3 linked regions of the Caenorhabditis elegans genome follow. The protein of the gene in region 3 purifies or fractionates together with the protein of the main gene of each other region. This does not show direct contact. Each region holds a gene or a part of one and is shown on either strand. Other genes may lie near its edges.

Evidence for each region.
Region 1: the proteins of hpd-1 (region 3) and hgo-1 fractionate together in Caenorhabditis elegans (co-fractionation; one large-scale study listed by BioGRID). This does not show direct contact.
Region 2: the proteins of hpd-1 (region 3) and rml-5 fractionate together in Caenorhabditis elegans (co-fractionation; one large-scale study listed by BioGRID). This does not show direct contact.

The regions. Positions count from the first base shown.
Region 1 is NC_003279.8:9,053,775-9,057,530, forward strand, and holds the start of hgo-1 (Homogentisate 1,2-dioxygenase), read right to left. Parts: upstream 1,619-3,756; 5' UTR 1,562-1,618; coding exon 1,544-1,561; intron 1,489-1,543; exon of another isoform or gene 1,375-1,488; intron 1-1,374. Other genes in the region: spe-46 (uncharacterized protein), read left to right, coding at 2,645-2,744, 2,828-2,991, 3,039-3,429, 3,684-3,756. UniProt on the Caenorhabditis elegans protein: Plays a role in the tyrosine degradation pathway.
Region 2 is NC_003279.8:1,791,246-1,795,001, reverse strand, and holds the start of rml-5 (NAD(P)-binding domain-containing protein), read right to left. Parts: upstream 1,749-3,756; 5' UTR 1,743-1,748; coding exon 1,638-1,742; intron 1,211-1,637; coding exon 1,034-1,210; intron 381-1,033; coding exon 1-380.
Region 3 is NC_003281.10:10,533,960-10,537,715, reverse strand, and holds hpd-1 (4-hydroxyphenylpyruvate dioxygenase), read right to left. Parts: upstream 2,191-3,756; 5' UTR 2,169-2,190; coding exon 1,758-2,168; intron 1,596-1,757; coding exon 1,299-1,595; intron 687-1,298; coding exon 213-686; 3' UTR 33-212; downstream 1-32. UniProt on the Caenorhabditis elegans protein: Key enzyme in the degradation of tyrosine.

The sequences.
Region 1 (3,756 bases), on a different chromosome or scaffold from region 3:
AATGTAATGTGTAGGTGGTCGAAAGAATTATGAATCCTCATTTTTGGAAATGTTTTTTTGTAAAACTTTGCTCGAAATGGATCAGAAAGCAAATATCATTTACTAAATATAAAGCGCTTATTCCGTTTGTCCATAGTTTGTAGTCTATGTAGTCTTTGTAGTCTGTGAAGTTTTAGCTTATGGAGGGATAGTGAGTTGGGGTTAGTGTAGGGATATAGCCGGGGTACTGTAGTGGTACAATAGTGGTACCGTAGGAATACTGTAGGGTTACGGTAGTTTCAGAAAAAGTTAGTTTTGAGCCCCAGAAGTCGGGGGCCGCGCCGGAGGTGCGGTCCACGGCTGGTCTATTATATATATGCTGAAAGGTTTAAGATTTTTGAGCAATTTCAGTTAAAGTTTTGGCAAGTTTCCAAATTTGGAAATAATTTCAATTCAAACAATGTTTAATGTTTAAATTTATTCACTGCTTGAATAAAAACAACAAAAGTGACATTTAAAATTTATAGAAGACAATTTTTATCAATTTCCAAAATATGATTTTGAATCGCACGGATCTATCAGATACTTTCCAAATTTTATTGTTTTCGGCTTTCACTTTTTCCATCGAAAAGTTGAAAAGTTGTACTATAATATTTGGTCGTCACAGAGTTTCCCCTATTTTCAATATTGCCAGATCATCAAAGTTTCAACTCAAAAACCCGACACGTCTGCTCACCAGAAATCAATTTTTAAAATTAAAAGCGCCTATTTGTCTGAAGAACTGAAAAATAAATATGCGAGTAGTAAAAAAGCTTCCTACGACGGCGAAATTGGAATCAAATTTCTTTTTTCGAAGGGAGTTTCAATGGATCAAATGAGAAATGAGCACAGAAATTCGATTCAAATTACATACGCAATCCACTTCTAAACTACTAGATTAGTAAAGGCACAATGAGAAAAAGGTAGACAAAAACTTTGGAAGCAGGTGGAATATAACTTCTGAAATATTCTATAATTTCATGAGAACAGCTTTGACAACTTGGTACGAGGATTCTAATTTGTCCTCGTAAGTTAAAAATATTTTTATAAAAATGCTATAAACAGAAAAAGAAAGAAAACTTTGTTTGAGAGCAGGAGGTGGTGATGACGTATTTAGAAAAAAGGACAAAGCGGAAGAAAGAGAAAAGAAAAAGATGGAAGGGGCAAAAGAAAGAATAAGTTCAGACTCGAAAACCTTATGAAAGAAACGAGACAACGATGTTATTCAAGAGAAGTAACTCAATTCTAGATGTATTTCAACAATGGACACTTCTTCTTATAATATTCCTTAACGTGTAATCGAATTACCCCTTGAGTTTTTCTCTTTATCGGGAGCCACAGTTACTGGTGAATTATATTCTTATCTTTTGCGGATAACCCTGAATAAGCTGTTCCAAAAATTATTGTTATTCAACACACTCTTTCGAATGGTCGGAATCCATTCTAACCTTGGTTAACTGGGTTAAAACCAAATTGACAAGCGAGATAGGGGAAGGATTTTTCCAAAATCAAGAAAAATGCTCACCTCATCGAATTCCGACATTTCTAGTTTCGAAATTCTGCCTTACAGAAAAAGTAGTCAATCGGACAGGAACAGAATACCTAATACGGTTGTTTGTAGGTGTTTCGTGCAAAACCTTATCTAAATGTCTATGTCTCACAATTAGATAGTACTATCTCTTCTATCAATTGACTGCGTCTCTGCCCATTCAGATGACCGTTTCAACGAAATCGTCATGGTATAACAATGTTAAATAGTCACGTGTTTTGTTCCATACCATGTCAAAAACGGTAATTGACTGGAGAGGAGTTGATAAGATTATTGTCGTTGTTGTATACTCTCTTGAGAATATCTCTGCGCGGAGGTCAAACAATATTACGATACGTCATCAGGCAATTCTAAAAAAGAAATAACACCGAGACCCGTTCAACACGAAGGATCAGGTTTTCGCAATTGGAACCTATATTTATATTAATTTTCTCTACACTAATAACAAGATGTATAATTATCTATACTATACTAATCCGATAAAATTAAATGAAAAGGATTGAGCAAAACTGATAAAAAATTATTAATTTATAACGTACTTTATTTTTAAAACACAAATCAGAACGATAATAACGTAGTCAAGCAAAAGCACAACTTTAAAAATTATAAAAATGAACCCCACATCTATTTGCACTTTTACAAAGAAAGGTCCTGTGTCTGGTGTTTCGCAGCAACGATCATTTTATAACCTACCGTAATCTCTAATTGCAGACGACAGCAGTTAGATCGTGGCGGGATATCAAGTTTACAGGAAATTCAGGGCAACAATTAAGATTTGACTCATTAATTATTAATTCCAAAAATATTTTTAAACTCTGTTTTTAATTTAAAAAACATGTTTCTTAATTTCCATGTGTTAACAATAAATAATCTTTGTTTTAAAACGTGAACCACGATTTTGATGTAAAATTAAATAATCATTCCACGTGGAGATGAGGAGATGACTTTGCTCATTACTTTTCATCAGTAGCGTCGCGGTTAGTTAGTTTTTCTGTGCTTCCTCATTCCTCGAATTTACAATTTCAGCTGAAAATCGAAGAAGTGCGTCTTGATTGAGTGTTGAAGAAACAAAAAGCAATGACGGAGATCTCTGAAAGATATGTGGAACAGTTCACGACTACCATTGAAACGCTGCGTCGTCGTGTCATTGCATATTACGATGGAATTTTTTATTTGGGTTAGTTACTCAATTTGTCTCTGCTGGTAGTTCTTCATTGAATTACACAAATTAATTAAAAATTGAGAGTGTAAACATTACAGGACGAAAAGTGGAGAAAGCTGCAGAACGTTTGAAAGAAGTCGCTGAGCCAGCTGCTTATGATGCTCGAGACTATGTGAATCAGTCACTGGCAGAGAATAGTCCATTGGAAGTGATTGATACAGAGACGAAGAATAGCTTGGTTGAGATGTATCTTGGAATCTCAGTGAGTTTTACTCTTTATTATTTTGTCTACATTATAATATACTTCAGGTCATTTTGATTGGTTTGGCTGGAGGTCAACTCTCCGGTGCATATGCATTGACTCCACTTATTCAATACGTCTTCGATACTTCTGTCGTTTCTCTGATCCTTGCTGCATTGCCAGTTTACATCTACTACAGTATTCGCAAGAATTCCAGTTTGGATGACACTGAAAGACGTAGTATTCTATTCTCCTCAACTCTATTCTTCGGAATCTTCAGTGGATATCTTTTTGGTCCACGTATGCTTTCACTTGCTCCAACAACTATTTTCCTTCCACCATTCATGTTTGCTTTGTTGTTCGACAATGGAATTCTTCCGACGCCTTTGGTTTCTCTCAATCGTCAAAGTTTCTTCATCGCTTTTGCTTCCATCAGCGTCTTCATTACCACTTTCCTTGGTAGGTTTTATACTCACAAAATGATAGTTTTAGAGAATTATACTTTAACTTCAAACAAACGTCAAGTATCTTACGCTAAACTCATGAAGTTTGCGCTTGAAAAGCTTTTTTCGCGGCAAGGCAACTACGAATACATCTTATCCCGTAGGAGTACTGTAGAGCTACTTAGTATCAATACAAGTCATAAATACTATAGCATTGAGCTAGAGCCTTGTTTTAACTATCTAATTCTATTACACTTTCAATAATTTCAGCATCAATCGTCTTGGGTAGTTTCTCTATTGTGATTTCGCTGTTCAATATCGTTCACGTCACTGGTCTCTACAT
Region 2 (3,756 bases), on a different chromosome or scaffold from region 3:
CCCTGTTCCTTTACAGAGCCAGACGGGCTCCAATTCGTTTCTTTCTGAATTTTTTCAGCTGAAGAAGCCGAAATATTGTAGACCTCCGCTGGTTTTTGGCTTTGTGCCAACTTTTCAATTGCCAATAATCCACGTGTCGCGTCAGAAATCGATAAATCATCGGATACCCTTCCGATGACCATTGGAATACGATAACTGACAGCATAGCTGTGAGCCATTGCTTCAACGGACATTTGAGCTGAGCCGATGAATGTGACCGGCTCTAGAGGTTGGGTCTCGACACGATTCTTCGCCCTACCGTACACCTCGTCACCACTAATGAGAACCAGAGATGGTGGGGATGCGGATTTACGGATTGCATCGAGGATTGACGTGATTCCCTGAAAAAAATATTGATTTTTTTTTAATTCTAGGGGTTTGTCAACTGAGCGCGCGTGCTTTTACGGAAATTTTTCAAAAAAATTTGAAATTTCTGAAAATTTCTGCAATTTCGTGAATTTTCTAAATTGTTCAAAGATTTTTGGAAATGTTGATTTATTTTTAAAATATTTTTTTGTATTTTTTTTAGAATTTTAGAAAAGATATAAATTTTTCAATTTTTCTCAACCTTTTTTTTAAAGAAACCTCTGGAATTTTCTGATTTTTTTTAAAGCATTCAACATTTTCTAGAAATTTCGGACTTTCAGGTGGTGTCAGAGTGTCTCATTTTGGCTTGATCTACGTAGATCTACAAAAAATGCGGGAGAAGAGACGCAGATGGTTTAGAACGTGCTGACGTCACATATTTTTGGGGGAAAAATCCCGCATTTATTGTAGATCAAACCGTGATGGGACAGCCTGACACCACGTGGACTTCTGGAATTTTTATTTTATTTTTCAAAAAAATATTCCAAATTTTCTGATAATTTCTGACTTCCCAGGAGTTTTCTGGATTTTTTTTTTAATTTCTGACTTTACGAAATTCGAAATTTCTCTATTTTCACGTGGAGTACACCCAATGTTTGCCAATAGAGCATGTTTACTAAAACCTTACCAGAATCAATTTCTTAGCTCCTTGAATTGGCTCCAAGAGCACATCAGTTGTGGTGAGAGATGCGTCGAAAATTGTTTGGATTTTGTAATTTTCGATTAGATTTTTGATTGCTTCCTCGTTGATTGATGATAAATTGATAAGTGTGAGCGATGGATTATTGATCAGATTTGTTGGAATCTGGAAGAGAAATTTGAAATAATTAGGCCATCATGAAATTTCTCGGCCACCTGAGAATTTCTAGGCCACTCTAGCATTTTCAATGGGAACCATTTTCGCTGTTCGGCAATTTCGGTAATTGCCGAAAATTCAAAAAACCGGCAATTGCCAAAATTGCCGATTGCTGAAAAATTTGAGAACCTGCAATCGCCAGAATTGCCGGAAATAAAAATTTCATACTTTTTGTAGATTTAGGAGCCTAAAAATGCAATTCCGGCAATTCCGGCAATTTGGACAAATTTGGGCAAATTTGCCGAAATTACCAATTGCCGGAATAGGAACGTTAAACTTTTAAGGCCATTACAAGGATTTCTCGGCCAGCTGGAAAATCCTATACTACTCGATAATTAAAAATTAATTTTCGAAAATTTTGTAGGCCACCACTTACCGCCTCATTATTGTGCAGAAGAACCACATTTCTTCCGTTTTTTAGCACCGCCTCCGCAAGTTGAGTAGATATTTTTGAAATCCCGCCGGTAATCAAAACGGTCATTTTTCACTGAAATTTCGAAGGTTTAACAAAAAATCTGCAACGCCTAGCAACGGAGTGTCGCTTCACGGGGTTCTGGCCTTCCTCATTAAATTTTTCCCGCTCCATTGACAATTGCCTGCCGGACTGGGAAAGTCGTGCACTCCACACGAACGAATACATTTAGTTTTACAACTGAAATCAAGCCGCGACGCGACACGCAACGCGCCGTAAATCTACCCCGGATATGGCCTGGCCTAGTTCGGCAAATTCTTCCATTTCAATTTATGAGGGAAGCCAGAACCGCGTGTCGCTTGTCAAAGAAATTTTTTAAAATTAATTTTTTAAAATGTGTTTTGGGAAAAAAATTTTTAAAAAAAGCAAATTATTTTTCAAAAAACCGTTTCCTCAATATGTTCAAAAACCAAATTAATTTTAAGATGAACATAAATTCTCCAAAACAAAAAAAAATAGAAAGTCGAGAATGAATACAGTTTCTGTATGACATATCGCGGTCAAGGACGGCAGCGCAGAGATCGCAACGAACAGATAGAAGTGAGAGAGTATTGGTAGATGAGAGCCGCAGAGAGACATGCGAATGAAATCGAGATAGATCCAGGACATTGATTGTATACTCTATCTGCGACAATAGAAGTTTTGCAGCCACGTAGCATGAAAAACCACAGCATTCAAGTTTCGCGCGCCAAAATTCTTTCAAAAAGTTCTGAAAATTCTGAAAAACTTAAACTTACAAGGGCCAAATAAAATATATTTTAACTAAGTTCCAGACTTCTAAATAAAACCTAATTCGTTTGAAAAAAAACCCCATTCTAAATAGGCCCCTGGTGCAAAAAAAATCAGTGGCAGAGTGTCCCATTTCGGTTTGATCTACGTAGATCTACAAAAAATGCGGGAGAAGAGACGCAGAGTTCTCAACTGATTTTGCATGGTTAAGAGTGACGTCACATTTTTTTGGGCAAAAAAATTCCCGCATTTTTTGTAGATCAAACCGTATTGACGGACTGAAACCAAGTGGGAGCACAGCTTTGAGCTGCAAAAAAGTCGCTCTGAAAAATTTTCAGTCTAGTCGCCACTCTAGTCGCCAGTTTGGTCTGAAAAATTATAATTCAATTTTTAGAAAATTCTAGAAGTTTCCAGATTTTTCTAAAAAAGTTGTTTTTTTTCTCAGAAAATTTGAATTTCAGCCAAAATTTTATCACAGAAGATTTTAATTCCCACCAAAAAATTTTCCCATTAAATTTGAATTTGAAAAAAAAAAACTAAATTTTTTCTTAAACTACAGTACTCCTACAGCACCCCCTACAGTACTACTACAGTACCCCGGCTATACCCCCTACTAACCTCAAACCAATATCTCTTCAAAAGACAAAAAGTCAATTTTTCCAAAACTACAGTAATCCTACAGTACTCATACAGTACCCCTACAGTACTACTACAGTACACTGACCATATCCCCATACTAACCCTATACCAGTATCAATTCATAATATTTTTTAATATATAAATAATGATCTTCGCGGCAAATTTTTTTTGACAATTTTTTATTCAAATTTTGGCCTAAAAAATGGGCGGAGCCTAACAAGAGAAACAAGTTTCCGGAGACGTTAATTTTTGGAAATTTCTTGATTTGGGCCATAATTTTCCAGATTTTTTTTAGTACTGATTCATAAAAAAGTAAAAAATTAGCTTTATTCAAAAAAAGAAAACTTTTTTTTTTCGAAATTAATTATCCTTATCCTTATCATCGAGGTCATCATCAACTTGCAATGAGTAAAGAGCCATCACATACACGTAGAATAGAGAAATCAATCGATACGTGGCATATTTGCGAAAACGACCGAACATTCAGATAGGTGTAGATTGAATAATGAATGATTTTTCATGGAAATATGAAATTTAAAATTAAAAAAAAAACAGAATAATAAAGTATGGGAAATAATATGAACAGTGATAAGAGATCAAAAGAAAACCGCAACAATTATCACTTTTGATAACAAATTTTAAGGTTTGGTAAATT
Region 3 (3,756 bases):
TCCACATTTGTTTTGATATTAAGACTCAACAATTCTTTCATAAAATCTTTATTCTCTCAATATAAATGCAACAAGAATCAATAGAAAAAACAGGAAACCGTTGTGGGAATGGGTATCTTTGTTAGGGGGAACTATAATACAATCTCATGGCACATGGAATTCACTTTGGGTCTTGGCAACGAAGTGTCGTTGCAAAATAAAAAAAATATAAGTTACTTAGTATTTCCATCCTTAACATTATCATAGAACAAGTTGCCTCTCTTTGTCTGTTCCAATTCAATAGACTCGAAAAGAGCCTTAAAGTTACCGGCTCCGAATCCTTCATGATTCTGTCGCTGAATAATCTCCAAGAATAGTGTCGGACGGTCCTGGCATGGCTTACTGAAGATTTGGAGCAAATACCCATTCTCATCGAAATCCACCAAAATGTGCAACTTCTGAAGACGATCCATATCCTCCTTAACTACCATTGAAGAAGCCGCGAGACGTTCCTTGAGGTTATCGTAGTAGCTTGATGGAATGGAAAGGAATTCACAGCCACGGGCTCGAAGAGCTTCAATTGCAGTAATGATGTCGGATGTGTTGAGTGCGATGTGTTGAACACCGGATCCTCCGTAATAATCCACGTATTCCTGGATTTGGGAGATTGCCTTTTTGTCCGATGTGGCTGGCTCGTTGATTGGCATCTGCAAAATTTTTGTATTAAAAGTTTAAGCATTTTCTATGTTATTCAGTGTTTTTCAGAAAATAATTTAAATTATTTTGTCAATTTTCTGGAGAGCCAGAAAAAAAAACACAATTATTTGAAAATTCAATTATTTTCCCAAAAATCGAATATTTAAAACATTCGTCGTATTCAAATTAAAAAATGGTTTCTGAAATAGATGTTGAAAATGTTTAGATACTCAGTATTCCATATTCAAAATGCCCTGGAGGACTACACGAAAATTACAATTATTCATTTCCCACGTAGAGTACACAATTGTTCCACAAGAAAAAAAAATTAAAACCCGCGATATGTCGGCTGCTGTTATTTTTCTATTGATTATAAAGACTAACTAGCAACCGACATCTCATAGGACACCGTATTTACCAAATCGATATCTTGATTTTTTTTTGTTGAAAATTACTAATATGTATTTTCCACAAGAAATCTTGCTATAATTTTTTGAATTAAAAAAGGTCGTGCGTCTTTTTAAAACCCGCGATTTGTCGGCTGCTGTTTCTTTACAATAAAAACTAGCAGCCGACATCTCACAGGACAGCCGCACTCCATCGATCTCTTTATATTAACTAACCTTAATAGTCTCCTCGAAATTCGTTACAACAATGGAACGAAGAGCCGAGTACTCGGTATGAATCATGGAATCATCAACAGACCAGAATCGATGGAATTTCAGCACCTTCTCGTACCACTGAACAGCTGAGTCCATTTGCAAGTCTGGCTGATTACCGACACAATGATCGAGGAAGTTCAATCCAACGCGTGGAAGAGTCTTGAAGAATGTGGCTGGCATTGGATGAGCCTTGAAGCCGGGCAGGAATGCTCCACGATAATTTTTACGTTCCAGCAAGGTGTGGTCGGTTTCTCCATACTAAAAATAATATTTCATTGTTTGGATTATTAGAAATTTGCATTTCTCGTCAAAATTTTTTCTCAAAAATTTTTTAATTCCACCAAATTTTCCTGGTCAATCTTCAGTGCAATTTAACAACTTCGGAATTTTTGAAGATATTTTTATTTTTAAGTCTCTTACCGTTCTAAGCGTAGCATATCGAATGGATCCATCAGCATCTGACTCTTCAGTAATATCATGCACAATAGTTGCTCCTGCAGCTTTTGCGTGTGCAATAATCGAATCAAGATCCTCAACCTCAAAGCACACATCCTTAACTCCATCTCCATGTTGAACAAGGTGATTTCCGAGTTCTGAATTATCAGGCAACAATGCTGACTCGAAAATGAACACGATTTTGTCTTGTCGAATAGCGTGTTGAGCAGTAATTCTAGATCCTGTCTCGAGCCCCTTATAGGCAAATGGCTCAAAGCCAAAGTTTGCACAATACCAGTAGGCAGCTTGTTTAGCATTTCCGACTACAAATCTAACATGGTCGAATGCAACAAAAGTGCCGATATCTGGTTTTGCTCCTTTGTCGAATGTAGTCATTTTGATTGAAGTTTTGAGTTTTCTGGAATTTATAGAGTTTAAGGATAAAAAAGGAAGAAAAAAGTCCAGGGGGGTGGGCAGCAATTGCAGTTCGGCAAATTTTTTTTTCGAAAAAATTCGGCAAATTGTCGGTTTGTGGACTTGCCGGAAACTTTGATTTTTGACAAATTGCCGAATAACAATTTGCCTGAAGTTTTTAAAGGGATGTTTTATAAGACGGAAACTAAGCCTTTTTGGAAATTTTTTGCCCGTTTTTTCGAAATCTTTTCATGGAAATTTTTTGCTTTTTAAAATAGATGTAGGAGCATTCATAGGATACGTACAATTATGCAGAATTAAATTGATAATCTTTGCCGATTTAAAAATGATAAAATTGATAATCTAAAATTTCCAAAAAAAAAATGTGCACAGCCACAATTTGCCGAAAATATTCCGTAATTACCATTTTTGCGGCAAATTAGCAATTTGCTGTTTTGACGGAAGTTCTAAATTCTGTCAAATTGCCGGTTTGCCGAAAATTTCCATTCCGGCAATTCAATTTTTGTTCAAATGTTCTATATAAAAACATCAACTTGAGTTACAGATAATTGCAGATTTAATGTTAAAAAAATTGGCCCGCAAGTCGTCTGCCGCTTAATGAACGGAAAAAATACACCACATCTTGTTAGTAAACGTTTTGAAATTTAAACTCTTTCTGGAAAATCCCTTAACCGGCATTGTATGTCTTGAAAATTGGGGTGGCATAAGGGTTGTCTAAAAACAATATCGAAATAAAATTTTTTTGGAAATATTTTAAAACTAGGTAAATATAGTTTACAAATAGTACTGTATAGTAACAAATGTAACATAAAAGCTTTAAAACTATGTAGCATATGAAAAAATTCATTTGACAAAGCTTTGTAGTTTAAAATTTATAAATATCTACAATATGAACCGAGATACAACTCGCCAAAATGAAAGAGAGAAAGAAGAAGAAAAAACTGTAAACAACATCTGAGTGCTAGTAGACTATAGTGGCACTGTGTTACTGCACATAATGCAAGTGCCGACTTTTATAGCACCCTCACGCAAAATTCGGATCGTCACGAATTTCGTCGTCGTCGACAAACTGAAATGAGTCGACGTCGAAAGGGGCGGGCTGGGGGCGGGGGAAGTTGGACACGTGACATTGAGGAGACCACAAATAGTGATGCAATGTGGTCAAAAGAAACTGATAACGCACGTGGGTCGGCATCGTTTCGTTGAAAGATGCTGCTGCTGTGGAGACCCTAATTTGGCGACGAAACTCTTTGAAGATCGGAAGATGCTTGAGGGGAGGGGTGAGAAGAATGGTGAGGTGTCATGGGAGTTTGTAGTCGGAATATAGATGTATAGTATTTTGGTATATGATCTTATCAATGAGATCGAGTAGATCAAATCACACGGACTAACTGTTCAACGTTCTTCAAATTTGCGGGAAGTTCAAATTTTAAAGAAATTTTTTTGGCGGGAAATTCAAATTTTTTGAAAAATAATTTTCAGCGGGAAAAAATTTTTGAGAACAATTTTCGGCAGAAAAACTTAAATTTTCTGAGGTAAAAATTTGGCA